Struthio camelus: one gene and its partners. The protein of the gene in region 1 purifies or fractionates together with the protein of each later gene. This does not show direct contact. Links are inferred from orthologs where the notes say so. Each region holds a gene or a part of one and is shown on either strand. Other genes may lie near its edges.

Region 1 (7,940 bases):
TGTGGAGTTTGAAGACTGAGGCAATATGGAAAAAAAAACAAAAAAACCCCCACCAACCCACAAACTCCACAGCAAGTCTGAATGCCTTGCTCAAAACAGACCAGCAAACAGTGGTGGTTCTCACCCAGAAGGATTACATGAGCAAAGCACCTTAATGAATTATTTTAGCAAATTTCTTCCTAGCAGGAACAAATGGACCTTAAGCAAACTAAGCAACATGTGAGTGCCTTCAGACTTTAATGACACAAACTCTGCAGTTGCTCTGTTGTAAAAGTCAGTACAGCGTTTCTTCGTAAAACAAAAAGGAACCCCAAAGCGTGCTCTTGGTCTGTGACAACAGGTTAGACATCAATCACATATCAGAGAACTCGAGAAAGATCCTACATGTTTAATGCAACACCTTACGCATTGCTCACATGAGCGCCTCAGCTTGCCAAGTGAGTAACAGCCACGCGCGGGGGAAGAGAACGCTGGCTCCTAGTCACTGCTCTTGGAGAAAGGACTAACGCGAGATACACAAATGAAAACAGCACAGGGAGATGTCCATTGTATGCGTACTTCTTCAAAACCCAGCTGCCACTTGATATCAGTGCCTCTCCCTCTCCCTCCTGGAGAGGTAAAGGGAGAAGATCAAAGACCTTAACATACAGTTAGAGCTCTGACTACACAATAGCCTAAAGGAACAAAGCCTCCTTACTGTGAGAAGATGTCTCCATGGGAACTCTGGTGCCCATCCTTCAATCCCTCTTCGCCATATGCATCATATTGCTTCCTCTTCTCCTCGTCCGACAGCACCTGGGCAAAGGGACAAGACACTCATCTACAGCTGAACCAGGTTATTTAAACAAGCCTTTGAGATGAACCTTGCCAGTTCTCTTAACTGAAGGACAAGCAGCAGCATGTAGCACATTACAGAAGTGTTGGCTAGAACTTGCTTGCTGAAGTGGACTGGAAAGTTAAATATTTAGTAGCTAAAACCTAGAATTAGCTTATTGGAACAGCAAAAGCAAAACACACAAAATACAAACAGTACAGAGTTTACCATAGTGACTTGAAAAAGAATCAAACGGGGATAATAATTCGAATCAGCCCTATGAAGCAGAACACTCCACAGAAAGCTGTGTAATACTACTCTTGTTCTTCAGGCACATACAAAACGACTATTTCTTCAAAGAGTATTGTATAACTGTGAACAACGATGGCAAGTTTGCCCACCAAGCTGTACCTGCCAAATATGGTAACTCTGCGACAGCAAGAACGCTGGCCCTCGTTCCTAAAGGGGAGCAGAAGTCAGCAAGAAGTAACTTCAGTATTAAGACAGAATTAAGTACCCCAATGCAGGTACCGTTTCTCAGTATGTGGTCTTTGCTGTGCGTCCCGAGATGCGTAAGTTCCTGGATCAGATTTAGTCTTCCTTCCCTTTCCTCCCTGACTTGACCTGCTGATTATATTTTGGAAGACTAAAACTGTCAGGCCAGCTTCCAGAAAGCTGGCGAAGAGCAGAAACAAGGGAAGAAGCAACTCTGCTAGCTAAAGGGTGATGGTTTATGTAATGCATTAATACCTAAAGTTAAGAGAATATTACATTATCAAATTATCACAGAAACGAGAAAGTTCCTAACACATTTGATTCCCTACCATAACAATTATTTTCCCAACTTTAACATGCCTAGTAAAAGGCAAGCTCAAAACCTTTCATCTCACATGAGCCAAAATTTACTCACAGCCCATCTATACATATAGACAGATTGTTCCTGTGCCAGTGCTTCCAGCTGAGGCAGCTTTCTTTCGTCCTTAACATTTATGGTTTAGTGTGGGGTAAACAAAGAACTTGAACTTTCTGCCCTTGTTTTCCTCTGGTTAAGCGAGCTATGGCTTTTGTATGCTTTCCTCCAACAAAGTAAGTTCTCTCACCACACTGGCAGCTTCTCTGCCTTTGTCCTTTATTAGATGCAGCATCTGGGACTTGATACCATTTTGTAATAGGAGAAGGAGGAGGGATCGCACCAGGTACTAGCGCTTCCTAGGAAGCCCTCCTTGAAGGTGTAAGATGGGCTCAGTTCTTTCTCGTTCCTCTGAATCTTATGGAGAGGAAACCACAGCAGAGAGCCTGTTGGCCATAAGAGGCTTCACGCCTGGAGCTTGCTTCCCCGTGAACCCCACCTGTCCGGGAAGGCCCTCGGGAGGGCGTATTAAGGTTATCTCGAGCCATCTAGAGCACACGCGACTGCACCTTGCCTCTCGCCCCTCCCTTTTGCAGCAGCTACAGCAGGCCTGGGGAGCATCCCGCTGGGCAGGGCGGCGGGGGGGCACCCGGGCTCACCTCGTAGGCAGCGCCCAGGTCCTGGAACTTCTCCTGCGCCCGGGGGTCGTCGGGGTTCCTGTCGGGATGCAGCTGCAGCGCCAGTTTCCGGTAGGCCTTCTTGATGTCCTTGATGGAGGCGCCGCGGGACACCCCCAGGATCTTGTAGAAGTCCCTCCTGGTGGGGGCGGGGGGGGGGGGGAAACGGGGCAGAGCGGGGGGGACCCGTCAGCGCCGCCGCCCCAGGGCCGGTCGCCCCGGCGGGGGAGGGCGCATGCGCACAGAGCCGCGCGTGGGGGGGGGAGCGCGTGGGGGGGGGGGCGCGAGCACAGGCCCGCGTTGTGGGGGGGGGGGGCGCGCGCGGGCCCTGCGCTGAGGGGAGCGGGGAGGGCCGGGCCCGGCCCCGGCGGACTCACCCGGCGGCGGCCTCGCCGCACACGCAGAGCAGCAGCAGGCAGAGGCGGCCGAGCGAGGCGGGGGACATGGCAGCGCGGCCTGGCTGCCGGCGCGCCCGCCCGCAGCCGCTGGGAGCCGGGGGGGAAGGCGGCGCTCTCCGGCCGCGGCCCGCAGCACCGCAGCCGCCCGCTCCGCTCACCATAGATATGAAGCGGAGCCCGGCGACGGCCGCTGGCCAATAGGAGCGCGGCACAGCGCGCCCACCCCGCGCGCCGCCGGCCTATCGGCCGCGCACACTTCACCACCGGCTCGGCGCCGCCGGCCAATCGGCTGCCAAGACATCAGCGCCCGGCCGGCCGGCCCAATGGCGGCTGGCAACGTCACGCCGCCCCTGCCCTATCGCAGCTCCGGAGGGCAGAGCGTCGGCGCGGGCGGAAGTTGCCAAGCCTAGAGCGAGGCCGGCGAAGGGCCGTAACCAATCAGAGGTGGCGGCGTTCGTTCCGCCTCCGCGCCCGCTCGGCTCGCCAATGGCAGCCGGCTCCTCGGCGAAGAGGGCGGAGCGCCGCGCGCAGTCCTCCGGGCGGTGGGCGCTCTGGGCGGCGCCTCGCCTTGCCTCGCCTGACGGGGGAGGCCGCCATGGAGGCGGCTGCGGCGGCGGCGGCGGCGGGCCCGGCGCGGCTGTGGGTGAAGACGGAGCCGTTCCTGCTGGGGGCCGTGCGGGCGCCGCCGCCCGCCAAGCTGGGCCGCCACTACCTGCGCAAGATGGCGGCGTACGCTCGGGCGCGGGCCGCCGACGGCTGCTTCCCGCGCCTGGCCTGGCCGCGCTGGCGCCACATCGCCTGCGGGAAGCTGCAGCTGGGCCGCGGCCTGGCCTGGCTCTACTTCGAGCTCTTCGACAGCCTGGCCCGGCGCGACCCGCCGCGCCGCCTCCAGCGGGCCGAGGCGGAGGCGGCCTGCGCCAGCGCCGACCAGCTGGAGCGGCAGCGCAGCAAGGCAGGGGGGGTCCCCTCTCCCAGCCCCCTCCCCGGGCCGGGCCGGGCGGTCGTGGGTGACGGGCAGCGCCTCTTAACCTGTGTTTTGTTTCTCCCTCCCCCCCTCCTCCTTGGGTAGTTGTCAGTAGACACCCTGCAGTTCCTGCTGTTTTTGTACATCCAGCAACTGAACAAGGTTTCTCTGAGAACGTCCCTGATCGGCGAGGAGTGGCCCAGCCCCAGGACCAAGTCTCCCGACCTGACTGGGAAGTCTGCCAGTCAAAATAAGGTATTTGGGGGCGTGGGGGGTCTCCTGAGGTTGCTCCGTGAGAAAACGGCCGCCTCCCCTGGAGGCGGGCTGAAGAGCATCCCGTTTGTTGCTGGGAGAGCGTACCCTGCCTGAAGCATTTCTGCAAGTCAAATTTGAGCTACGTCTCAGCACGGTAAATGAGATGAAACCGATATGTTCTCTATCGCTTTAACTTATGAAACGGTGACACTTGCCTGCTGAAATTTCCTGTGGTCTGAGACTAACTGAAAATTTTTTCTGAGTCTTCCTAATTCTCCTTCTAAGCAGCAACAGCTTCTTTGGTTTTTCTGTTAGAGGGGTGTAGCCAGCCAAGCAGGAGGCTTTTCTTACGTTGAAGGCTGCTTTCCCACGATCTGCGTTAAATTATTAGAATTCCAAAGCGGTGTTTAGGAAAATGTCATTAAGTTGTATTGCAGAGAGATGGAGTGGCTGGTCAACTGTAGATCCGTCACGTGAAGATGATGATGTCCCACATCAAGTGTTCCTAAATAGGAGAAGTAAGCTGGATACGTCAGCTGCAGTTCATGGTCTGCTCTGTATTTGAGAGTGAATTACAAATTGCCAACAACGTTATAAAGGCCAGGTGCAAACTTCAGCAGGCTTCTGTCCTGGCTATGACATGAGGAGCCATATGACCCAGTGAACTGTAATTTGGGACAAGCTGAAATGATTAAAAGGAGGGACCGGGTAGCTTTAAACTAAAAGACTTAACACATGAAAAAGAGATGAGAATAACTAATGTAAAGCTGTGAGCTGCAGGCTCCAGGGTGGCATCCAACATCTTTTGGAAGTTGATGCTTTCTTTTAATCGCTGTTCAAGTTTGACTGTCAGATGAACAAAAAATAGGTGCATCCTGGCTGTCAGGGTAGCCATGCTAAACGTTTTGATCCTGATGGTGTGGGGGGCTGTCTCCACTGGCATTACTTTTTCTTGTGAGATAGGAAGAGATGCCTCTAGTTTCAGTGATCCCTGATATGAGCACTGCGAGAAATTAGCCCCTTTGAAATGGTTTGGTGAGGCTTATCCAGTGTGAGCTGCTCTCTGTCAGCCTGTGGCAAGACGCTGTCCAACGCTGCTTGTTGCTGCCTTTTAACTGCAGCCCTTATCGGTGGGTGAGGAGAATGTATGATCGTAGCTGGCGTTACTTGTTCTGCAGTTTGCAGGCCAGCAAAAGTTGCCTTTGTTGATGGCTGCCATAATTCCAGTCTCCCACTCTTTTTTGGTATGGAGCCTTTTAAAATTGGAGCTAACGATTCTTCCAGAGGCTGTTTAGTTTATTAGCGCGCTCACCTCTGAAGAAATGACCCTCTGTTTTTCCCTGCAGCTCCTCTGAAGGAGGTACTTTGTCATATCTGAAGGTCTGAAAGAGATGCAGTGAGCTTCCAACAGAGCAGTTGCAAGACCCTGACTGTCAGTTATTGATTTGTTTCCAACCTTCACTTGCCAGCGCTGTCTGGCCACAATTGTGCGGGAAGGATTGTAGGGGAATCTGTTTCCTGTTTTGGCTCTTTAGAGTGAAATGTTTAGTACCTGGAATTGGAATAAAACAGTTTTCTGGTTTCGAGGGTTGCTGGATGGATCCAGTTTCTTATGCATGTTTTGGAAGAGCAGACCAACAGAAGCGGTGGGCAGAAAGAGAGAACACCGTGTTCCACTTGAATTCCTTCTTTTAGAACTACTGTGATTCTAGTGTAAGCAGGGATGTCTTGTATAATGTTGATGAAGCCTGTCCGCTTTGTGAGAGCTCACCTCGTTCTTGTTTGTTTTTCTGCCTTCTAAGAACTGGAACGATCAAGACCACCAGGCCTTCGTGCAGAGCCACCTCTCGGATATGCTGGAACTGCTGCTGGAGCCAGACCAGCTCACTGCCTCTTCCCATTCTGCTCACAGTAGTTTGGTCTCTTATGAAGCTGTTCGTGCCCTCAGCTTTCTTATTGAAGGGACTGTGAACAAATCTAGAACTGTCCATCCTCTGCATGAGCTTGCCCTCTGGCAGCCCTTTCATGGGAAAAATGGCTACTCGAAGATCTCCAAAGCCTTCTCTTTCACCAAGCTAGAGAGTTGGATAAGGTCTTGCCTGACAACAAACCCCTTTGGAATGACTGCGTGCCTCAAGTCTGGGAAGAAGCTTGCCTGGGCGCAGCAAGGTATCTGTAGGCCTTGCCTTTACTTCCAGAGGTAACTTTCAGCCTCAGCTCCTTGTCCTGAGCAAGGATCTGGCAGTGGAGTGTGGATTTACCTCCTTTTCCTCCAGCTGACAGTGGAGATGGGGAAGGTAACAGCTTAGAGGCGAGTCTGGGAGGAACTAGAGGGTGCCGTATGACACGTATTTGCATCTTTCTGGTTCTTTGATCACTTTTATGAGCAAATGTCAATGACTTTATTTTCACATGCTCTTCTGAGGGAGATCGGTATTACTATCCTCATCTTTCAGGTACCACTGGAGGCGAAGAATAGAACATGTGATTTGTCTGTGGAGGCTTGGGTGGTTGTGGCAAAGCTGAGAACTGATCTGGATCTCTTTGAATGGACTCATCCCATGCCCGCAAAGACATTGCAGTGGAGCCGGACATCTTTCACCTTAGAGGAAAAAAAAATAAGATTAATGTTTTGTTTGCTCTGACTGCACACTAGTAAGATGTAAGATGGGCAATGTGAGATGGGACAGCAAAGCTGCTCAAGGGTTGTCTGTAGAAGGAGCATTTCATTGGTTTAGTATGTCTTAAAATGTGTGATCTGCACTTTCAATGTAGTGCTAAAGACTTGCCCTGAGTCTTTGTCTGGCAGGAAGATCCTTCTGTGCAGGAACAAACTCTGGAAATTGAGATGCCTAGACCAGGTCCGTCCGTCTGGTAGTTTCTGGGAGACTCTGGCTTCCCATGAATAATTCTGAAGGGCTTTTGATTCTTTGGATGTACCATGACTTCTAGAGCTGCTGACTGCTGTGTACTGCCTTCCTGCCCAGGAGTTGTTAGTGGTAGTGTGACCGGTGCATGAAGTGACACAGTTGGACAGTGCCGTCCTTGAAGTTTGGGGCTGATTTTGTGTGCTTTTCTTGTGCCATTTGAAATGATGTGAACCATCATATTCTTTCTCAGTGTCTTGATTAACTTATTTTGCAGTTGAAGGAACAACCAGAAGAGCCAAGATTGCTTGCAATACTCATGTGGTCCCTGAGGTGTTTCCCATGGTGATAATGAGCCAGGTGTACAAACAGACGTTGGCCAAGAGCTCAGACACCTTGGTGGGGGCTCATGTAAGAATTCATCGCTGCAACGAGTCTTTCATTTATCTCCTCTCTCCTCTCCGGTGAGTTTTTGTTTTCCTGAGGCACAGCTAAATGTCATTTAGCAGGTCTGTTTGAGATGTGCTAACTTGTTAGAAGAGTCTGGGTTTCGGACTTTCTGGCTCACTGTGTCTTCTCTTGCTCTGTTACAGATCTGTGACCATTGAGAAGTGCCGGAATAGCACTTTTGTCCTCGGCCCTGTGCAGACATCTGTTCACGTCCACAGCTGTGACAATGTCAAGGTCATTTCTGTTTGCCATCGTTTGTCTCTCTCTTCCACCACTGGCTGTACTTTCTACATTCTTACACCTACCCAACCTCTCATCCTCTCGGGTAACCAAGCAGTCAGCTTCGCTCCTTTCCACACCCATTATCCAATGCTTGAAGACCACATGGCTCAGGTGGGCCTGGCCACTCTGCCGAACTACTGGGACAGTCCCATGCTGGTGTGCAAAGAGAGCAGTGACACAAGCGTCTTCCGCCTCCTGCCACCCTCGGAGTTCTACACCTTTGTAATTCCTTTCGAGATGGAAGGAGACACAACGGAAACGCCGGGCGGACTGCCCCACGCGTATCAGAAGGCACTGAGTCAGCGAGAGCAGAAGGTACAGATCTGGCAGAAAACTGTGAAGGAGGCAGGCCTGACCAAGTGAGTGTTGCATCCTGGCAGGAG
Region 2 (6,974 bases), on another chromosome or scaffold:
GTGGCCTCGCTATGACATTGTGGGGACTTTCCAACAGCAGGGCAGAAGCCACCAGGACAGGGTGACCCTAACTCGATCTGTTGGGAGTGTCATGGGAGCAGTGAATTCCCCAGGGGAGCAGTGGGAAGCCCCTGCACAGCCTGCGGGGCTGGATTTCTGCTGTGTGTCATGTGGCCCCAGAGCTTGGCCCAGGCTGAGCCTTGCCAGCAGCAGCAACGTGAACCCAAGGGTGGCTTTTCTGGGTGCGTTTTGTGTGCAGGGCTGGGAGGAACAGGGACAGGCCGGGGCCACGGCACACAAGGAGCCGCAGCACACTCAATTGGACGCCTGTTGCCACCCAAACGCAGCTGGGCTCAGGCTGCGATGAGGAACTCAGGCGGAACAAAGAGGGAATTGCAGAGCTCAGCACCGAGGGGGGCCGGGGGCTGGCGCGGCCCCGAGCGCTCTCCAGCTGCGACGCACGCTGCTGCCGGGAGCCGCCGGCCAATGGGAGCCGCCCCGCCAAGCCGGGCGGCGCAGCCGGATTAACATTAATTAATATATTAAATCTAAATCCAGCCTTGCTGGTCAGGAGGGAGGGCGAGCTGAAGAGGAGTCTTTGTCCTTGTCGCCCGCCCACCAGCGCCCCCCGGCCCCTACCAGCTTGCGGATGCGGTCGAGGACCAGGTCGATGATCTCTTTGCCGATGGTGTAGTGCCCCCGGGCGTAGTTGTTGGCCGCATCCTCCTTGCCCGTGATCAGCTGCTCGGGGTGGAAGAGCTGCCGGTAGGTCCCCGTGCGCACTTCGTCTGCGGGATGAGGCCAGGCACCCCGTTAGCGCCGCCGGCGGCACCACCACCAGCACCGGCACCCCCCGCCCCGCGCTCACCGATCACCGTCGGCTCCAGGTCCACGAAGACGGCGCGGGGCACGTGCTTGCCGGCCCCCGTCTCGCTGAAGAAGGTGTTGAAGGAGTCGTCGCCGCCGCCGATGGTCTTGTCGCTGGGCATCTGCCCGTCGGGCTGGATGCCGTGCTCCAGGCAGTACAGCTCCCAGCAGGCATTGCCGATCTGCACGCCCGCTTGGCCCACGTGGATGGAGATGCACTCGCGCTGCGGGGGGGAGCGGGGGGCGTGAGCCAGCGCCCCGGCTCTGCGCCCCCCAGGTCCTGCCAGCGCCGGCTCTGCCCCCCACAACGCTGCCCTGTGCCTTGGGCTGGATGGGGCCAGCCCCTGCACCCGCTCTATTGTTCTGTGGGTGCTGGGCACTGCGGGGAGGGGAGGGGCTCTGCACCCGTGGCCATATCCAGCCCTGCTGTTTGGGAACCAGAGCCACACCCAGTGCGGTGTGGCAGTGCTCAGCACCAGGGACCCATCCTGCCCCACTGAACAGGGGCCACACCCCATGCAACATGAAGACCAGAGGGTCTCATCCTGCCTCACCCACACAATTGGACCACTGCCATCCCTAGTATATGTTGAGGGCTCAGCACCAGGGCGCTTATTCTGCCCACCCACACTCTGGTGCAATGCGCAGTGTGGGTTGCAGGCTCAGCACAGGGGTCTCATCCCACCCTGTCCTCCCCACAGACCCCACAGGGACCCCTGAGAACCAGGGCCACACCCACTGTGGGGCACTCAGCACCAGGGGCTCATCCAGCCCTGCCCACTTTTGGTGCTGTGCCCAGGGCAAGATCAGGGTGCTCAGCACCAGGAGAGGCTTATCCCACCCTGAACACCCCATTAAACAGGGGGGCCACACCCAGTGCAGACTGAGCACTCCACACCAGGAACGGGATCCATCCTGCTCCGTTAACAGGGGAGCCACACCCAGTTAATTGAGCTGAGCACTCCCACACCGGGTCCCATCCTGCCCTATTAATGGGGGAGCCACACCCAGTGAACCGAGCTGAGCACTCCGCACCGGGAACGGGTCCCATCCTGCTGCATTAACGGGGGAGCCACACCCAGTGAACCGAGCTGAGCACTCCACACCGGGAACGGGTCCCATCCTGCTGCATTAACGGGGGAGCCACACCCAGTGAACCGAGCTGAGCACTCCACACCGGGAACGGGTCCCATCCTGCTGCATTAACGGGGGAGCCACACCCAGTGAACCGAGCTGAGCACTCCGCACCGGGAACGGGTCCCATCCTGCTGCATTAACGGGGGAGCCACACCCAGTGAACCGAGCTGAGCACTCCGCACCGGGAACGGGTCCCATCCTGCCCTATTAACGGGGGAGCCACGCCCGGTGAACCGAGCTGAGCGCTCCGCACCGGGAACGGGTCCCATCCTGCCCTATTAACGGGGGAGCCACGCCCGGTGAACCGAGCTGAGCGCTCCGCACCGGGAACGGGTCCCATCCTGCCCTATTAACGGGGGAACCACACCCGGTGAACCGAGCTGAGCGCTCCGCACCGGGAACGGGTCCCATCCTGCCCTATTAACGGGGGAGCCACGCCCGGTGAACCGAGCTGAGCGCTCCGCACCGGGAACGGGTCCCATCCTGCCCTATTAACGGGGGAGCCACGCCCGGTGAACCGAGCTGAGCGCTCCGCACCGGCTCCCATCCTGCTGCAATAACGGGGGCGGGGAGCGGGGCCCCCGCCGCCGCGGCGCCGGGCGGTGCAGCGGGCGCAGAGGCGGCTCCCCGCCGCCACCGCCGCCCCCCGGGGCCCCGCGGCCGGTGCTCACCATGGCGGCTGCTCGGCTCCGGGGCTTTCTTACAGCACGACTCCAAGGCGGTCGATGTAAGAGACGCGGCGGCGGGCGGCCCCGGCGCGGCGCTTTATAGGGCGGGCGGCGGGGCCGGGCGGGGCGGCGGCGGCGGCGGCCATTGGCGCGGGGCCGCGATGAGGTAATGCCCCCCCGGCGCCGCCAGACAAAGGAGCGGCGGGGGGGGGCTCGGCTCTTTGTGCCCCCTCGCCTCGTCGTTCTCCAGCCCCGGGGGGGATGCGGCCGTGCTCGGGCTCCCTTCCCGGCCGAGCCCCGGTTCCCAGCCCCGGGCCCGGTCACGCCCTGGTCCCCATCCCCACCGTGCCGCGGTCCCTGTTCCTGGCTGTGTCCTGGTGCCCCGGTTCCCAGCGGTGCTCCGGTCCCCGTGACCAGTCCTGTCCCCAGTCCTGGCCATGCCGTGGTCCCCATCCCCACCGTGCCCTGGTCCCCATTCCTCACTGTGTCCCCATACCCGGCCACGCCCTGGTCCCCATCCCCACCGTGCCGCGGTCCCTGTTCCCGGCTGTGCTCTGGTCCCCATCCCCGCCGTGCCACGGTCCCCGTTCCCAGCACTGTCCCCGTTCCCGGCCACACCCTGGTCCCCATCCCCGCCGTGCCGCGGTCCCCGTTCCCAGCACTGTCCCCGTTCCCGGCCACACCCTGGTCCCCATCCCCGCCGTGCCGCGGTCCCCGTTCCCGGCCGTGTCCCCGTTCCTGGCCACACCCTGGTCCCCATCCCCGCCGTGCCACGGTCCCCGTTCCCAGCACTGTCCCCGTTCCCGGCCACACCCTGGTCCCCATCCCCGCCGTGCCACGGTCCCCGTTCCTCGCTGTGTCCCCGTTCCTGGCCACACCCTGGTCCCCATCCCCGCCGTGCCGCGGTCCCCGTTCCCGGCCGTGTCCCCGTTCCCGGCCACGCCCTGGTCCCCATCCCCGCCGTGTCCCCGTTCCCGGCCGTGTCCCCGTTCCCGGCCACGCCCTGGTCCCCGTTCCTGGCCGTGCCCCTGTTCCTGGCCGTGCCCCGGTGCCCTGGTCCCCAGCCCCATCCTGCTGCCCGTTCCCGCCGTGCCCTGCTCCTGGTGAGAGCCGCGCCGTGGCCCTGTTCCCTTGCCAGCCCTCTCTGCACCCCAGTCAGCCCCTTGGGCCCCACCGGAGAGCCCCGCGGCCGCTCCTGGAGCGGCTCCCGGGGGGTTTGGGCAGCGCCCTGCAGATGGGCTGGCTGCGGCCGGGGGGTTCCCAGCCCCAGCGGCAGCTGCTTCCAGGAGCAGCCGGTGCCTGGGACCCAGCGGGGGGCCAGCGGGGGGACGGGGGGGCCACGTCTCCCCCCTCCATCTGCTGCAGCCCCTGCGCAGCCCCCCTGCCCCGATCTGGTGCACCCCCCCGGATGCTCCCGGGGCCACGGTCCCGGTTTGGCCTTGGTGCAGCCGCCTGCAGAGCCCACAGCAGCTGGGGGTGGGGGGGGGGCTGGGGAGGGTCCCCCAGGCCGGTTCAGGGGCGGGAGAGGGCTCCGCGGGGTCTCTGCGGGCCGGACGCGCAGGGCAGGGCTGGCGCCAGCTGCTGCAGGTGGAGCCGCCAGGATCGCCGCTCCCCCTCTGCTGAGAAATCGCATTTTTCTCCGCATTTCCCACATTATGCAGATTTTTGGGGCAGCTCCAGATCCCCGCTCCCACGTCCCCGCTGTCCCTGCACCCCTGGCCGCCAGCAGCCCTGCTCAGCCCCTGGGGCGCAGCGCCGCGTGCCCAGCTGCGGCACAAAGCAGCCAGAGGGGGGGCTGGAGCCCGGCTCTCCCGGCGCCGCGGGGCTGCGAGCCCAGAGACAAAGAGGGACCCCGCTTTGGGCGCCTTCCGCCAGAACAAAGGGCTGCGCAGCCCCCCGCGCCGGAGGGGTTTAACGGCCCCCCGGCCGGCGGAGGGAGGCCGCGGAGCGGGATCCGCTTGGGTTCGCGAGCGGGGAGGGCGCGCCGGGGCGAGGGGCGAAGCTGGGCGCCGGGGTGCTGCCGGGCCGGGCGGCGGGGTCGCATCTCGTCGGGAGGCACTGGGAGACTTTCTGCCCTTTGTTGTTCATGCCGGGGAAGGCGGTCGGCGCTCCGGGGCGGACACGCCGCCGCGGCCCGGCCGCAGGGCCCTGCCGCTGGGCTCGCCTCGTCGCCGGGCCTGGGCAGGGGACAGCCGGGAAATTCGGCTCCCTCCGGGCCTGTCTGGTTCCCAGAGCTGTTGATTGCAAATGGGCTTTTCGGCGCCTGAATAAGATCGTGGTCGCTTGGACGCGGCCCCACATGGGCCCAATACTGGGAAACGCCTCCTGCCTTTGTCTCCCGGCTGCTCTCGGATCCTCGGCTCCGGCGTGGGCGCCCGGGAGGGTGTCCCCGGGTGCCGGGGGTGCTCGGAGCAGCCCCCTGCCTTGGGGACCCCCCCCGGCTGGGGCAGGAGGAGCTGGCGGCTCCTTTACCCGGGTCTGCTGCCCACCCCTGCCTCGAGGTTTGGGTGGTGGGGTGCTGCGGGGACGGTGAGGGCATCACCCCCCGCCCCCGGGTGCGCAGGCGTGGGGCGAAGGGCTCCTGGTGGCACGGGGGTCCGCAGCACTGGGGGTCCCAGGCACCAGGGGGGAACCGCAGCCCCCCAACCTCCCAGACCCTTCCCATCTCGTTAGGTATGGAAGACCAGTCGTCTCCCCGCCGACCGCTGCTAGGCAACCACCGTCGGCACAGGGTTGCTAGGAGACTGGTTGCTAGGACATGGGCTAAGACCCCCCCCATATCCCCCCTCCCCGGCATCCATCACCCTGCCGGGCTCTGCCGGGGACGTGGGGAGACGGGGCTGGCATGAGCCTGCCTAGCTGGGCCCTGGTGCCCAGCCCTGCCGTGCCACCGTGGGGGGGACACCAGCCTGGGGGAGTCCCCGATGCCCAGCCCTGCCGTGCCACCGTGGGGGGGACACCAGCCTGGGGGGGTCCCTGATGCCCAGCCCTGCCGTGCCACCGTGGGGGGGACACCAGCCTGGGGGGGGGTCCCCGATGCCCAGCCCTGCCGTGCCACCGTGGGGGGGACACCAGCCTGGGGGGGTCCCCGATGCCCAGCCCTGCCGTGCCACCGTGGGGGGGACACCAGCCTGGGGAGTCCCTGATGCCTGGCCCCATTGCATCCCGGCGGGGGGGACACCAGCCCCCCCGTGCTCCCAGCCGCCCCCCCCAGGCACTTTCCTCCCCGCCTGTGCTGTGTTGACTGTTGGTAGCAACGCGGCGGCTCCTGGTGACGGTTGCTGGGCCCCCGCTGTGTTTGCAGCCCGCCGGCGTGGCCCGGGCCTGGCCGAGCCGGGAGAGGCCGCCAGCGCCCCTCGGGCCCCCCTCGCCCGGCCCCCAGGAAGCCCCCAGCCCGCGGCAGGCGCTCCGGGGGCTTCTGGCCCGTTGCTCTCCCAGCTCGCTCCCGCGGCCCCCGCCTGCGCGCCGCCCCCCCGGCCCCATCCGGGCGCGTGCCCCGGTGCAGGGCGTCCAGCTGCTCCCGCGGCCCCCGCCTCGTCCTGCCGGCTGCGGGCAGCGGGGTGCGCTGGCGACCTTGGGCACGTGGGGCCGGCTCTCGGTGTCCCGAGTTTATCAGTGCTCATGCATTCGGCGGGCTCGCTATCTGTCCTTGGGAGACTTTCACACGCTCCCTCTCTCAGCATGCGTCTTTCCTCCCCTCAGCTGCTGTTTCATGGTGCTTATTTCCCCGACGCTTGCACAGAGGGGGCCTTTTGGGGCGCGGGAGGCGCTCGCGGCCCCAGAAACGGGGGGCTGCCCGGGGGCTGCGGCACGCCGGGCGAGGAGACGCGATGTGGAGCGGCTGCTTGGCGGGCCAGGACGCGGCACCCAGGGCGCGCAGAGCAGGGCGGCCGGCGGCGAGCGGCGGTGCGAGGCCGCGGTGGCCCGGGGAGCGGCGCGCCTGTCAGAGCCGGTTTGCGTCTCGCAGCCCTGGCGCCGGTTCACGGGGAGACAAAGTGACTTCCTGGGGACCCATCTGCTGCTATTTTTAACCTGTTTTTCTACCGAAACCCGGCGCGGGTGACGTGACCGCGGTGTCTGCTCGTCCCCTGTAAATATCCATGCGACGGATTGAGCGAAAGGGAGACGAGGCAGCGCCGCGCTGGGCCCCCGAGCCCCGTGCCGCTGGTCGGGGCCGGGGGCCGGGGCCTCGCCGCCCGCCCCCGCAGCCCGGCGCTGCCCCGTGGAGCCCTCCGGCACTGCCCGGCCCCACGGAGCTGCGGCGCAGGGGCCGCGCGGGCAGGGCAGCGCAGAGCGGGGTGC
Region 3 (7,183 bases), on another chromosome or scaffold:
GCTTAACATTTAGAACAACTCACTTGGTTATTGGAGAGTGGTGATGGGAAGTGATGAGTGTGTAAATTTTTTCCTGTGTTAACGTGGGTAAGTCGTATAGCTTGCCCACATTTCACCGGTGTTCCTCGCTGGCAGCTGCCATCACTTTTCCCACGAATCCGCCAGTAACTGTTAGCATCATCTGAAGCTTCAACTCCTGTCACTGACTGTTGCCCACTTCCTGTTTCAACAGAATTAAGTAGTAGGAGGCTTAACCCACTTTTCCCAGTTCAAAAAGTTCTGAAACACACTACAAAAGAGTATTTCAGTCTCAACCATTTTCCTGTTTTAGACAGCCTCTAATTCTATAACCTTATTCGTGCTGCAATCTAATAAACAAACTGAACTGATAAGGAGAAGAAAAAATGTTAAGGCATGAACATCTAAAGAAATCTGCCTTAATGGTCTCATGCCTTCATGCTTAGAGGTGCTTAGTTGTCATAGTCCACCTATTGACTGCAATGGAAATGCAGGTACCAAATGACTTTAGACCGAAGAACTTAAACAGAGCACGAAGAACTTAAACAGAGCACGTGTTAGGAGATGTGAACTGTTAAAGTTCACAGCAAACACACGAGAAGAAGTTATGTTGGAGGTATGATCCATGAAATACTATTCGCATCTTTTCCTTTTCAAAAATACTATCATTTTTTTCAAGCACTCAAACAAGGCACTCAGCAGCCTCACCCCTCCCGGCACAGAGGCTGAGATGGGACTGCTGAGGCCCTCCACACAGACCAGTGGGTCACCTCGGGTGAGGGCAGAGCACCCCTGGTACTCTGCGGTGGAGTCCTGCCCCAACCCCTTCTCACACCCTGGGCCTCAGCACCCTCCTCTCTGCAGCTTTCCTCCCAGCCTGCCAGTTCTCCCCCAGGACACCCCACAATCCCTGGCCTGCTGCTCCCTCCCCCCCGCACCAGGGGCACAATCCCCAGAAACCTCAAACCTCCTTCCCTGGGCCACCCGCCATCTCCCTGTCCCACTCGCTGCCTGCCCCCCGCCATTTCACAGCCCCCCTTCCCACCTACCCCCCCGCCATTTCACAGCCCCCCCTTCCCACCCGCCCCCCGCCATTTCACAGCCCCCCTTCCCGCCTGCCCCCCCGCCATTTCACAGCCCCCCTTCCCACCTACCCCCCCGCCATTTCACAGCCCCCCCTTCCCACCCGCCCCCCGCCATTTCACAGCCCCCCTTCCCGCCTGCCCCCCCGCCATTTCACAGCCCCCCTTCCCGCCTGCCCCCCCGCCATTTCACAGCCCCCCTTCCCACCTACCCCCCCGCCATTTCACAGCCCCCCCTTCCCACCCGCCCCCCGCCATTTCACAGCCCCCCTTCCCGCCTGCCCCCCCGCCATTTCACAGCCCCCCTTCCCGCCTGCCCCCCCGCCATTTCACAGCCCCCCTTCCCGCCCGCCATTCCCCAACCTCCCTCCCCGCGAGCCCCCCCGCCATTTCACAGCCCCCCCTCACCGTCTGTCCCCTCACCGTTTCCCAGCCGTCCTCCCCCCCTTTCCCTGCCCCTCACTGCCGGCCGACCAACACTTCCTTGCCCCGGGTCGCCTCAGCGCGGCGCTCCCGCCCCGGCCCTGCTCACCGGAGCCGTACTTGACCTCGTGCGAGTGCAGCCGCACGCTGTGGCGGGTGTTGAGCAGCTTCAGCACCGACCCGCAGGTAACAGCACCCGGTGCGGGCTCCCTGCCGCGACACGGCCCGCCCAGCAGCGCCAGCAGCAGCAACGGGAAGAGGCAGCAGCCGCCCCGCATCGCTCCTCAGCCCGGCCGGCACCGCCGCCCCCCAGCAGCGGAGCCCGCTTCCACACCCCCTCCGCCACGCCAGCCAATCACCCGCTGCCAGCACCGCGGCCGGCCAATCCCCGCCCGCCCTCTGCTCCGGCTCCCACCCGCATTGGGCTATACCCTAGTGACCTCACCACCGGCAGACCCCCGGCGGGAGGAGCTCATTGGGCCGGGGGAGAAGAGGTGGCCAATCAGAGCAAGCGGCGTGGCACCTCCCAGGGAAGGATGCGGAGGAAAGCGGCGGCTCGCTTCCCGTCAGCGATGGCGCGGGCGGGCCCGAGGCCGGGTCAGCGCCCGGCTGGGCCGCGGTTCCCCGCCACCTTCCCGCGCGGCCGGAGCGGAGCGGCCCGGCCCGCAGCGCCCCGGGAGTGGCGCTGACAGGAACGCGCCTCCCTCTCTCGTTGCGAGCTTTCTGTTGCCGAAAACAGGTTTATTTCAGAGGAAAGCAGGCCGGGTTTGGTGCAGCAGTTGTCTCATCTGACGCCTACTCTGGAGTTGTAAGAAAAAGAGAAGCTGGGCCGTTCTGACTAGCTGTTACGGGCCGCGTACGAAAACACACTGCAGAGAGGACTGATCAGTGAATTATCGCCAGAGCCTGGGGAAAACCGGGTGTCTTCGCTAGGGGGAGAGCGCTGGCAGACAGGAGCTAGCTCTAAGGTAACGAGCCTGGACGCAGCGCCGGAGAGCTGGTGTCGGCGCCGATAGGTAAACCAGCCCGTGCCCTGGCCTTCCGGCCGCTGCGGGCCCAGAGCGAGCAGCTGGGGTGTTACTTGGCACAGATCTGCCCTTCCCTGCCGTCCCTGCTCTTGAAGTGTAAACGTACCCCCATTTTTGGGTCTCTGAAAAGCACAGCCAGTGCCATTCAAAATGCTAGTGTAACAAAATGCTGAAAAACAAAGCAAATTCATGGTGGTGAATTGGCTTTCATGAGAAAATACCACTGGTCCAATCCTTTCTGGATGGTATTAGAGCGTCTCATGACAGGGCATGAATACTACGCCAAGAAGAGCTAACAGCGATTACTCTGTCATTAAGCTGCAATGAGAATGTCTGTGCTTTCAGAGCACAAAGTTCACCTTCTGTGATTCAGTCTCCTTTGTGAGGTTCTTGTAACAAAAATATTAAGCTTGATATGCAGTGTACACTGGCATTCTGTATAAAAGAAAGCTGCATAAATTAACATACACATTTCTTCCATTCATTGTTTAGTTTTGCAGACTGAAAAATATTATCTTTTTTTTTTCCTTAAAAAAAAAAAAAGTCTCCTTTATCAACAGGAGACAATCACAGACAAAGGATGACACAGTATCTCTAGCATGGCCCGTTAGCTCTGCCTCTGAAACTGCTCATTTGATTGCCCCATATGTCACGTCATGGACAGTCTGGTATGAGTTTGGTGTAACGCTCTCAGGAATACAACGTAATTTAACAGAGCAAAAGCTTTTGACCTTCCTAGCAGCAAGGAAACAAGTAGGAAGGGCACCTGTCTTGGGACTTAAGTCGTAAGAATGGTATTCTACAACGTGCAACAGCAAAGAACTGCAACACTGCACTTTCTATTATAGGATGATTTAGAAAGCACATTAGTCTGCTGCCTAGTGGAAACATTGTAAGATGCTCAGCTGACTCTTATCTTTTCCACCAGTCCTGAGTCTGTGAGGCTTTTTACTAGCCACATGTCACTCACTCGAATAACCATGCTAGCTTTGACCCATTTGATGTATCTGTGCCTACATCTAAGAATCATCTCTCACTTAAATGGCAGGCCTGCATTAAAACAAGCCTGAGTCCTAAGCTCACATACATGCACATATACACATGCGCACACAAGACTCGGTGTGTTTTTCTGATGACTATAAACTAATTTTCTAGTTCCTGAAATGTAAATGTCTGCTCAAAGAAAAGCAAAAGATCACACATTGATAACCGAACATCATATTTCTATGTCGTTCTAAGAAACCTCCCTCTTCTTGTAACTAAGACAATAGCTTGCATTTACTGGTGTTTCTATAAACCGGGCAAACCCAGATGTCTGTAGTTGCTATTTTAGCCATGGAAAATCAATCATAAGGGGCTTTAGCTGGTACCTGTCCATCTTTCTGGGAGGTCACTTGCTCCCAGTGCATTCAGTGCCATTTACATGGTGCTCCCTACAATGCTTTTCAGTTGTACTTGAGAAACATAATTGGGTTAGAACGGTTGCCAACAGAGAACCCCATCAATGCTAAACACCCATGGCAATTAGCAGCCACCTCATTGCTGCAGGGCCCGCTATTGTTTTTAGTAGACTGTTGAAAGCTGCAGGTAAACTTGGCTCCAAAATTATGTGATGGGGCACATAATGAATGGAAACAATAGCTTCTTGCATAGGAATTTCATTGTGGTTCTTGTTTATGCACAGGAATAAAATAATCCAACAGCACAGTAAAAGGGGAGAGTGTAGGATATAACTAGAATGCGTTCTGCCTTCGATCACTTAATCCTGCAGTCCTTTCACAAGCAAAGGATTTTCAAGGAATGAAAGCACCTACAGTTTCTGCTCAGTTGCACTTGTAGGTATAACCTGCCCCCTTCCCCCCCCCCCCGAAAAACAGGTTTTAGTGGGTTTGGCAGCGGGAATCTATCTGTGTGTGTAAAGCATAGGAATGGGCGATCCGGAACTGGAGACATGGCACAAGAAAATTTCAGGGAGACTATGCTGGCCCAAAGCAACATATTATAGAAAAGTATTTTCCTTCTTTTTATGTTGGCGTTAAGCTTTCCCCTTGGTTATGGGGAGCACTGCAGTGACATCTCCTGGATTCTCTTTCTCAAACTATCACTAACCTCAGGCAAAACATACAGGACACAGTTCTGCTCTTACTAGGACCTGACCCAAAAACCTTAGAGTCCAACATCAGCTTTATTACTGACCTTTCTCCGCATCTGATCCTTTCTCTGATGTCAATAAGGAGGAACTATACTGAAATCAAGGGAATACTAGTACTAGAGAATCAGACCTGTAAACGTTTCTGGTTCCTTCTACTTCTGGGTCTCCTCCTTTCACGACACACTGATGAAATGATGGTTGTAACTTCACTCCAACTCAAATATTTTTTATCTATTCACATGACTTAGAACAGAGCTGTCTTAACTGTGACCTCTAGGCATGGCCACAATACAAATAAACCGTAATCCCAACGGTAAAATGCTGTCACCCAAGGAGAAATTGAAACAACAAAAAGGTGGCTTGCCAAGAATTTATGGAATTACAGTCTCTCATCACTTAGCCCATGTTTTTTAAGGCTTAGAGACTGAAAACTAGCTATTCAGATTTTTTTTTTTGATTCAATAGATACAAGCAAAATATAAGAATAAGCAAAGTATGTAAGTAGAAGACATTTGACAAAAAAAACTGTATAAGTATATACATGTTGAAACTGTAGAATTTCACATCTAAGGGAAAACAGTTGATGTTTTCTGATTGCTACCCTGTTTCTAGTCTTTGAAAAAGAGAGGACTTTCTGGGAAGTTCTTCAGAGTCTTCACAATCTGTGTTCAGTAACATCGTCAAGTGTCTTTTGGCTATTCTCCCAATTGATGCTGGCTCTTCAAGAAGAGGGGATCTCCTCTTAGAGCTTCAGCAGAATTAGCATCTGTGTACATTAAATCGAATGAAATTTTCCAGGTGCTCTCAGTGAGGCTGAGAGAAGATTCCAATTGCTGTAAGTGAACTGCAAGATTAATTTCCACATGTAAATGATGCGTCTGAGGAGTTACCCATGTTCTCACTGGTAACACTAGCTCTTTTGCAGAAGGAACATTATTCCCTGTAAGACTCTGCAGAAATCTCTGGTGTGCAGTAACAAAGATAACAGCTTTCGGCTGCCACTCTTTTGAGACAATAAGGAGTCCTCAGAGGTCCTGCAGAGGTGTCATCTTCTCTGTCTGGTAAAATAGGTAATTTTCCCTGGCTCTCATTTGCAGTACTAGATTTTTTAGAAATGTTGTTTCTCTTAAAAATTGTACGGTAGCCTGCTTTGGGGAGCCCTCTACCTTTTACGATAGACTTTCAGGAAATTTTGGAGGCAGTAGTTCAGTTATCTCTGGCAGAGGAGTGATATTCTGCCTAATGGGTTTCTTGGTTCATTGTACTTTGCTGATGATCGTTTATTGCTTAGATCATCATCACTACATCAGAACATCTTTTTTGCCCATGACTTCTGATGTAGGCTTTTGAAATTTAGAGCTCTTCAAGCTTCCAATCTATCAATTTGTGACGAAAGTCTTTTGCCACCGTCCTTGAGTTTTTAAAGCCAAACATTGTCTCAAGGTGTACCTCTGTGAGAGGAACAAATGTAAATCCAGGTTTATCTGAAAGTGATTTTTCAGTTGCACTTGTATAAAAAGCCTTTTTAACAAGAGATAAAGAATCTGCTCTTGAATTCTGGAAAACCTGTATCATCCCAGCTGTTCTTTTTTGCCCCTCCAGCCCTTCACCCTTTAGGAAGGGGGATCCTCGGAAGCAGAGGAAATGCAAACTATTTCCTGTTGTCAAAATAGAACTGAAAAAAAAAAGATTAAAAAGTTTAGATGTCATTAATACTTAAGTGTAAAATGTAGCTAGTATCGAACATAAATTAATTTTTAGTCTTTCTGCATTAAACAGTCTGAAGGAAACAGAGAGAGAGAAAATAACTCTCTGAAAAAGTAAGGAGAGAAAATGGATTAAAATTCACTATCAATGAGCAGTGCCATTAATAATCATCAGTAAAGAAAGACTGGTCTTTCCTCACCTATGGGTTGTGCATGAATACACATGCTAAGTAATACTCAAATCCTGCTTTCTGCTATACTCTAACGTAAAGCAATGGATGAGTCAGTGAGTTAAGGATTAATCTAAAACCATACTTAGGCCCTATGCTTGTAAGAAACACCACTTGTGTATGCTTAAGCCTATCGTCTCACTGAAGTCCTGAGACCTGCCTACCTGAAATTTGTCAAGGAGAGTTTGAGTCTGGTACTTTAACATTACAGCATGATTTAATGTAAAGTTAATAATAAGATCATCATAGTAAACTTTGCCTTTTAGCTATATAAGCCACCTTGCTAACGCCATGCACCTCGTCAGGTTTTGACACATTTTGTACCAGTGTGAATTCAGATGACTTCAGAAAAAAGGAAAGGGAAGGTGACTGATATACTGTGTAGCCTCCATTGATCTGGTATGCAAGGAAGCCTTTGGTCTCCTAGCAGATATAATCCAGAATTTGGGGATATCAACCCTTTTTGATGCGAGAATCCATACCCATTTTTCCAGTGGAGATGTGACTCCCGTACAGTGAGTTGGGCAGTCATTAGACCAGCTTG
Region 4 (7,005 bases), on another chromosome or scaffold:
CGACTACACATTTCTCTCATGTTTCCTACAGAACTCTCCCCTACAAAACACTTTTTAGAAATCTTGTCCCTGAGCTTGGCAAGAAGCCCATGAAAATAAACAAAAGAAATTATAATCGTGTACCAGAAAAAATTGATACGAAGTCATAGACAAAGGAGAAACATACATGCCGTTAATCTCAATTGTGGCCATTTAAAATTTCCTTCCAAGCTTCCTTTTTTTCTTTTCTTTTCTTTTTTTTACCTGAAAGTTTAATAATTGTTTTATCATGGTGGGGGGGAAGGGGGGGGGGTCTTCGCTGCGTGAAGCTTTTTGATTAGAACTACCCTGCGCTTACCTCAAGTTGCAAGATTGCAGCTATTTTTAAATAGGTTTGGGCTTTGCTTGTGTCTGTGTGTGTTTTAAGACCAACACCAAACAAAGTAAGTAGATGAACAATCACAAAGTTTCAGGAGTAGTATGAAAGGGCTCATAAGAAGTCTCAGAGTACAGCAGCTCCCCCCACCCAATTAAGCTGCATGCGATTTCAGTCCACAAAGTTGTTACTCCCTCAGTTCCCAAAGAAAGTTGATAAATATAACAAAGGTCAGCAAACAAACAATCAAAAATACATACCACAAACACATCTCCTCCTTCCCAGGAAACTAGTTTCTTCCTCACATTAGTATCCATTACAGTTTGGGGTGGGGGGAAAAAAAAAAAAAGATTTCCCAAACTCCGGATAGAAGGATATGGAAGAAACACTTTAAATAAGGTTAGCAGTCTGACAATGAGTTGAGCTCTGTACACTGAAAGCTCATTTCTCTGTTGCAATGAGGCTGGACAACCCATCCATGAAAACTGACTCTCCCAGAGGTGACTCACATCAAATGAAAGCTTATTCACCAGGCAGAAACCAAGGTAATCCAGGAGGAGGAATTCAGGACACAACAGCAATGGGTGAACTGCAACTTGCCACACCAACAACTATTCCAGCTCTTTTACTGAACTCATGCACTAGCCAGAAATAAATTAGTTTTCATAAATGTTGACCCTTAAGACACAAAGCTAATTCAAGCTCACTCGTCCCAAAGATTCATGATTCAGATGACACAATGAAGACTTCTACAATCAAGGCAGCAAGACAAACATAAATGTGCCTTTTAAGGCCTTTGAGTTTAAAACCCCCTAATGCTGGAAAAAAAGAATCTAGATACTTGAAACAACAACAAAATCTACATCCCTTAACTCAATTTCCTGGGAAATGAGTTCGTGAAATAAGATAAGGAAGTAAATAACATCAAGAACCATCACCTCTTACCCTATTAATAAATATATTTTGAAAGAGAGTAAACTATCAGAGTTCAGTTAAGAGAATATACCCCAAGCTAGGAAACGTGGCTTTGGTAATTCACAGACTCATTAAATTATTCATTTACAGAGAATATAATCAGACTAGGCCAGCACTTCTGAATAAAGAATCCTCAGCAGGAACATCACTGCCAGAGTTCTATATATGTATTTATATATACATATACACACACACATACTTTGAACTCAGTTAGGTTTTTCCTCCAACAATAGCAGAATACATATCCAAAAAAGCAACTCAACACCACAGCACATAGTCATATACTACAGAGCATCTTTGCTACACTATGTACCTATTGCCACTTGGTGAGCTGAAATTTTCATCTAGTACATCTTCCGACTGAATTTCTAATGTCAAGCCAGGTTAGCTGCAAGTCCATAGACTTATTCTGAGTAGTGACAGTCTCAGTTCTATCTCAATCAACCTCTACCAGTGACAGGACGTTTCTCAGGTGCAACCGTGTTTCTGAATAAATGCACAATTGCATAACCAAGTTATAAATTTAACAGGAGCTTGAGAATGTGTTTGACTACACAGGTGTTGCTGACAGCATACTCTGAAAGCAGATAGGTTGCACGTGGTACTCTGACCAACTTCAAACACCAACAGTGATGCAAAAAAACATAAACAAATGGAAGACAGTGAGAAGCCACAGCAAACTTGCAGGTCAGGCCCTAATAACCGTTGTGGGTTACGGAAACCAAAGGAAAAAAACCTTCTAACTTGAAAATTACATACAAGTGATATAAAAGTGAGGCTTGAGGCCAGTACAGAACAGCTCAATGGTGCTGCAGAGCTGTGCTGCAGGCCACCACAGCATTTCCCCTTAGCTCCCTATTAGCAGGCCAAAGAAAATGAAACACACACCGAACTACCTCAAGCAGCACTGACTAAAGTTTCAGTAAAAGGCAGTAAGCTACCAGCAGCGGCACCAACATTCATTGCACACCTTTCGCATTAGCTCTGATGAGGTGGCAGTTCTGCGTCGCCTTTTTAACTCCCACCCTTTCCAAAAATATTTGCTTTCCGGACGCCCTGCAGGGACTGCCCCGACGCCACCCGGGGACCTCCCGCCGGCCTGGTCCCACCAGCTGCCCTGGGGCAGGCCGCTGCTCCGCTCTGCTTTGCCTCTGCCCCAGCCCCTTGGCCCGGCCCGCCTGCCATGGCGGCTCCCCCCAGGCCGCGGGGGGGGGGGGGGGGAAGGGCAGCAACCCAGGCGCCCCTCGGCCGCCGCGACCGTTAACGGCAGCCCGCAGGAACCAAGGCAGCGCCCCCCGCGGCCTCCGCACAAGGCGGCGCGCCCCACCCGCGACCCCCGGGCGGCAAGGCCGGCCTCCCCCACCCCGGAGGCGCTGCGGCCCCCTTTCTCCGCCCTCACCCTGGTACTGCAGGTCGAAGAGCACCAGCAGAAAAGGCAGCGCAGAGCCCAGACGGCCGGCGGAAGCCGCAGGAGACACCATCTCCACCAACGCCCGCGGCCGACGAGCTCCAACTTGTCCGGGGTGGGTCGTGGGCGCCTCCGATTGGCTGCGCCGCGCCCGCCCGCCCCCTCGCCCTCGGGAAACGTGGAAGCAGCGTGAAGGCGCCCGCCCGCACAACACCGAGCCCCACCGCTGCCACCGCGCCTGCGCGGGCAGTAAACCGGGAAGCCGCCACCGCGCCTGCGCGGAGAGGGGATGGGGGGGGGGGCGGGGGTGGTAGAGTGTGGCCGCTCGGCGCCTGCGCAGGAAGGCGGAGGACGCCGCGGGTGGCGGGATTGCCCTCACCGGGAATGGCGGCGGAGGGAGGGGTGAGGGGTTCCGCGTTTTTTGGTCAGCTCGCTGCCCAGTGTTTGATGGCGTACAGGCCTGTTTTCTCCTCACACTGAGCTAAATAATCAGCATACCCGTTGTCCTCCAGGCGTGCCGAAAAAGCGCTAGGGGTTGTACCCGGCCGCGGGCGAAGGGGTCGTCCGGCTTTGGCAGAGCCCGGCGTTTTTGTGGTTAGAAGTTCCCGCTGGGGCTGTAAACCTACACAAGCAAAGGTAGCCGACCAGCCAGCAAACGTGTTTCGGGAAATGTCTTTTCCTTTCTTCTTCATAGTGCAAATATGACGTGCTCTTGGTTATCCCGGGAAAAGTAATCTTGTATGTGCCCAGTTTGTTGTTTCAAATTATCTGCTTTATATTATTGGATAAACCATTCATATGAGGGGCCTGTTATATAATATTACACCCCATCAATGTTAAAAAAAGAAAAAAATCTTGTTCTCATGAGAATTCCACCCAGCAAATAACAAACTTGGCGCTAGAAATCTTATGTGGTGACCACAGACGTTTCTTTTTTTACATTCTGAAGATATGGTCACGTTGCCCTTCTCACCCAAGCGGAGAAAATGTGCAAGGTTTGCAGGACAAGCTTTTCCTGAAAGATCAGACTAAACAAAGAAAACTGCACGTTATCCCTCTCGAACGTTTCGTTTGGAAGATGGTGCTTCAAAAGGATCACCCTGAAATTTCACCGGCAGGAGATATTCAGAGATAAGAACTTGAATAATGGAAGTGGTAGATGTGCAATGAATAATTGATGCCACTCTAAAGATGTCAGCGTGAGGCAGAACATGACAACTCTGTAGCATTATGGAGAGGACAAAATACGAAAGCCAAAAACTGAGCATGAGCAGAATGCGAGCACTGTTACAATAAATGAATTCCTATGGCTGTACCTCAGAAAAAGAGACGTATTACACCAAAGCCAGACAAAAGTGAATACAGTATAGCAATTCACACCTGCAACTCCCTCTCCCCCCAAATGACTGGAAACAATAGTAAGGATAGCAGTCTACTTAATGGAGACCTTTAATAACAAGATTAGGAGAGAACAATCTGGAATCTGAAGAAAACTCAAAGCAGTAGCTGATACTGGAGTACCAATCTGAACAGATTTCCAAGCATAAAAGTCCAAGCATCATATCCCTTAAAAAAAAGTAACAGTATTATGATAAAAGTGAGCCAATATTCTCAGTAGATGCTTAATAAGGAGTCAGTATTTATACTAATAAGGGAGGTCAGTATTTCAGTAGGCTGTAGTAGTATATAAAAACAGTGTGTAATGCCAACACTACAAAAGGACGTGCTCAAAGAGAAATCATTTTTCACTGTCCGTCTGTGTTAGAGAAGTCATCATACAGATGCCTGACCAGTAATTCCTGAAAGAGACCATGAACCATGACAGAACATTCTTGATGATCATAACGCCTAAAAGTGTAATTTAGAGATTAACTATAAGCCTGGGAGAAGAAAGTACGTTAACACATCTTCCCTTGTGCAATTTCAGAAGCAAACGAGATGCAGAAGACGAGAAAGACTTAAAAGAACAAATGATATGACGTGCCAACGTCATTTTTTAGAAGTAATCTGAGAAATAGCAAGCCGACACAGCTGTAATACAGTAAGTCTTTCAAAAGGATCAATAAAAATTTGGCAGACTGGGACCAGAAACAAGTTTCTTCAGCAGCCTTGAGTTTTGGAGTGGAAGCTGGGTTGATTGCAAAGACTACGCTAATGTTCAAAGTGGTCAAAGGAGGGAAAGCCAAGGAATTTTCTCCAACACGGTTACTGCTGGTAATACAGTAACAGCAGAGGGCATCAGTTAGCAAGGAATGACTTTTTAAGACACTCGTTGCTTCTAACAGGGATGGTGACCTGAATATGGTGACAGATGTGGATTTAGTTAAATCTGTAGGTTCTGTTTATTAACTGGGAAACCTACTCAAATGTAACTGTGGTGTGGTGAGAAATCCAGATTAGGTGTGAAAACACACAGGTACTGGGAAGGACCCCGCTAATTACCTGTGAGCTAGCATTCTTGGCAACACATCTTAGTTACTAATCTCTGTTCCAAAAAAAACCCCATCCATATCAATCAGTTTCCTGACACAGGAGAATAAGCAATATATCGGACTGTTATGTTACTTCCACAGTCCTGTATGAAAATACGGGAGGCGGTGAGACAGGACGATAACACAGAGTTACTATCCTCGGGGCTTCTTCTTGTGAGGGATCTCTCAGGCCTTACACCTTGTTTTTATCCATTCCCCTGTATGTGCATTGCTATCAGAAACGCAGCTGTGTTATTAAATTGGAGTGATGACCGAGCTAAATGGGATAGTAATGTACATCTCTGCTAGCAGGCATAGCATAGGGTTATTGTTTACATGGCCACATCTTTTGGAAGTTCCAAGATTTCCCATTTTGGGTGGCATTTGTAAGAGATGACTTTAGGGAAATTCCTTGTCCTGGGCTCTTTTTGCAATACATGGAAACAGAAAGGCTCCTACAGAATGCAGTTCAGCCCAAGAACTTAAGTACTGTAAATGTGCTCTTGGAGAAGCTTATGGACTTTAAAGAGTGTGAGGAATTAGTCTTCTTTAGGGTAAGGTTACCCTCTGTTAATGCTTTCCCCTTCATACTGTCCCAACAAAATTATACAAGTATATCTTAGTCCTAACTGTGATGGGAGAACCACTTTTCCAGTGTGGATTTAACCATCTGCGCTATGACCTTGAGTTTTGACACTACAAAAAGAGACTAACTGCTGTCTGTTGTTTATATCGCTATAAATAGGCTCTACCTAGGTCTTTTGCTCTCATTTCGGTTAAGCTTGCTATAATACAGGTCCTTCAGTCACTAAACTATATTACTATAGCTGATTATCAACAGGGCTATGTGTTGTGAGATATGTAGGACAGAAGTTGGAAGATGGGAATTAGACACCAATGTTTCATTTTCACAATTAAATTTATTTTAAATTTATTTTAATCAGTGAGATGTATACAATATCTGCAACTTTTCTTACCAGCCATGGCAGCAACAGCAAACTCCAGAAAATTCCAGAAACAACTCAAATTCAAACCTAATTCAAATTTGAAACAATTCAAGATGAAGTGAAACAGTATTTTTCAAGCATTTTGATTTAAAAGCCACGTCTGTTGATTTTGGGAGGGTGAAGGGGCTTGACAGAAAGCAAAATATTACATTTATTACAAAATCTCACCTCTTTTAAAATACGTATTTTCATTTTTGAAGATGTAGAGCATTTTAAAATGATACTCTGAAATCAGAAGTCAAAACTTTGCTTCAAACAGTAAAATATTTTGGTATTTCTGAAGTAAAGCATTCTATTTTGAAAATATATGAAATAGTTTAACATTCATGAACTCTTATTTTCGACTGAAACCCATTTATGAAATTCAGCCTATTTTCATAACTAGTTTTGAAACTGTTTGAAACTCTGCAACTGTTTTTTGGTTTGCCTAGTGTATTAAAAATAACTTTCCCAGCTGAAGTCCCAAAGCTGAAGTTTCAAATCTACATGATGACTCCAAGCTACTTAAGTGTTTCTCTTAATCGAACACGTCTCTTCAATTTTAAAAAAGGTGAAAAATATCAGTGACAAAGCACTACGTTATCAGTTAAGGCGTCCATTCCTACCTTATGTCCTGCCAAAACACCAAGGTCTGCAAAGTTCACGCTTCTGGGGATTTGGACTGCACGGTTAAAGTGTGTACGTGTGCAGCCTTACCTCTGCCTGCTCCAACGCACACCTCAGCGCTGCCAGCCTATGCCTGCTATCTTTGTATGCAGTGGCAGCTGCCTGCATCCCATGTAGAGTTAT

Evidence for each region.
Region 2: the proteins of DNAJB11 (region 1) and tubulin alpha-1A chain purify together in Homo sapiens (affinity purification with mass spectrometry; 3 studies listed by BioGRID and IntAct, counting the BioPlex papers as one, with this or other methods). This does not show direct contact. The link is inferred for Struthio camelus from reciprocal best matches to the Homo sapiens genes DNAJB11 and TUBA1A.
Region 3: the proteins of DNAJB11 (region 1) and SDF2L1 purify together in Homo sapiens (affinity purification with mass spectrometry; 3 studies listed by BioGRID and IntAct, counting the BioPlex papers as one, with this or other methods). This does not show direct contact. The link is inferred for Struthio camelus from reciprocal best matches to the Homo sapiens genes DNAJB11 and SDF2L1.
Region 4: the proteins of DNAJB11 (region 1) and DNAJC3 purify together in Homo sapiens (affinity purification with mass spectrometry; 3 studies listed by BioGRID and IntAct, with this or other methods). This does not show direct contact. The link is inferred for Struthio camelus from reciprocal best matches to the Homo sapiens genes DNAJB11 and DNAJC3.

The regions. Positions count from the first base shown.
Region 1 is NC_090950.1:4,130,445-4,138,384, forward strand, and holds the start of DNAJB11 (dnaJ homolog subfamily B member 11), read right to left. Parts: upstream 3,016-7,940; 5' UTR 2,901-3,015; coding exon 2,719-2,900; intron 2,481-2,718; coding exon 2,324-2,480; intron 796-2,323; coding exon 698-795; intron 1-697. Other genes in the region: TBCCD1 (TBCC domain-containing protein 1), read left to right, coding at 3,335-3,691, 3,809-3,958, 5,761-6,127, 7,103-7,289, 7,419-7,916. UniProt on the Homo sapiens protein: As a co-chaperone for HSPA5 it is required for proper folding, trafficking or degradation of proteins.
Region 2 is NC_090969.1:906,416-913,389, reverse strand, and holds the start of tubulin alpha-1A chain, read right to left. Parts: upstream 3,002-6,974; 5' UTR 2,679-3,001; coding exon 2,676-2,678; intron 1,092-2,675; coding exon 869-1,091; intron 789-868; coding exon 640-788; intron 1-639. UniProt on the Homo sapiens protein: Tubulin is the major constituent of microtubules, a cylinder consisting of laterally associated linear protofilaments composed of alpha- and beta-tubulin heterodimers.
Region 3 is NC_090958.1:10,271,663-10,278,845, reverse strand, and holds the start of SDF2L1 (stromal cell-derived factor 2-like protein 1), read right to left. Parts: upstream 3,007-7,183; 5' UTR 1,802-3,006; coding exon 1,633-1,801; intron 221-1,632; coding exon 24-220; intron 1-23.
Region 4 is NC_090942.1:166,180,803-166,187,807, forward strand, and holds the start of DNAJC3 (dnaJ homolog subfamily C member 3), read right to left. Parts: upstream 3,009-7,005; 5' UTR 2,812-3,008; coding exon 2,730-2,811; intron 1-2,729. UniProt on the Homo sapiens protein: Involved in the unfolded protein response (UPR) during endoplasmic reticulum (ER) stress.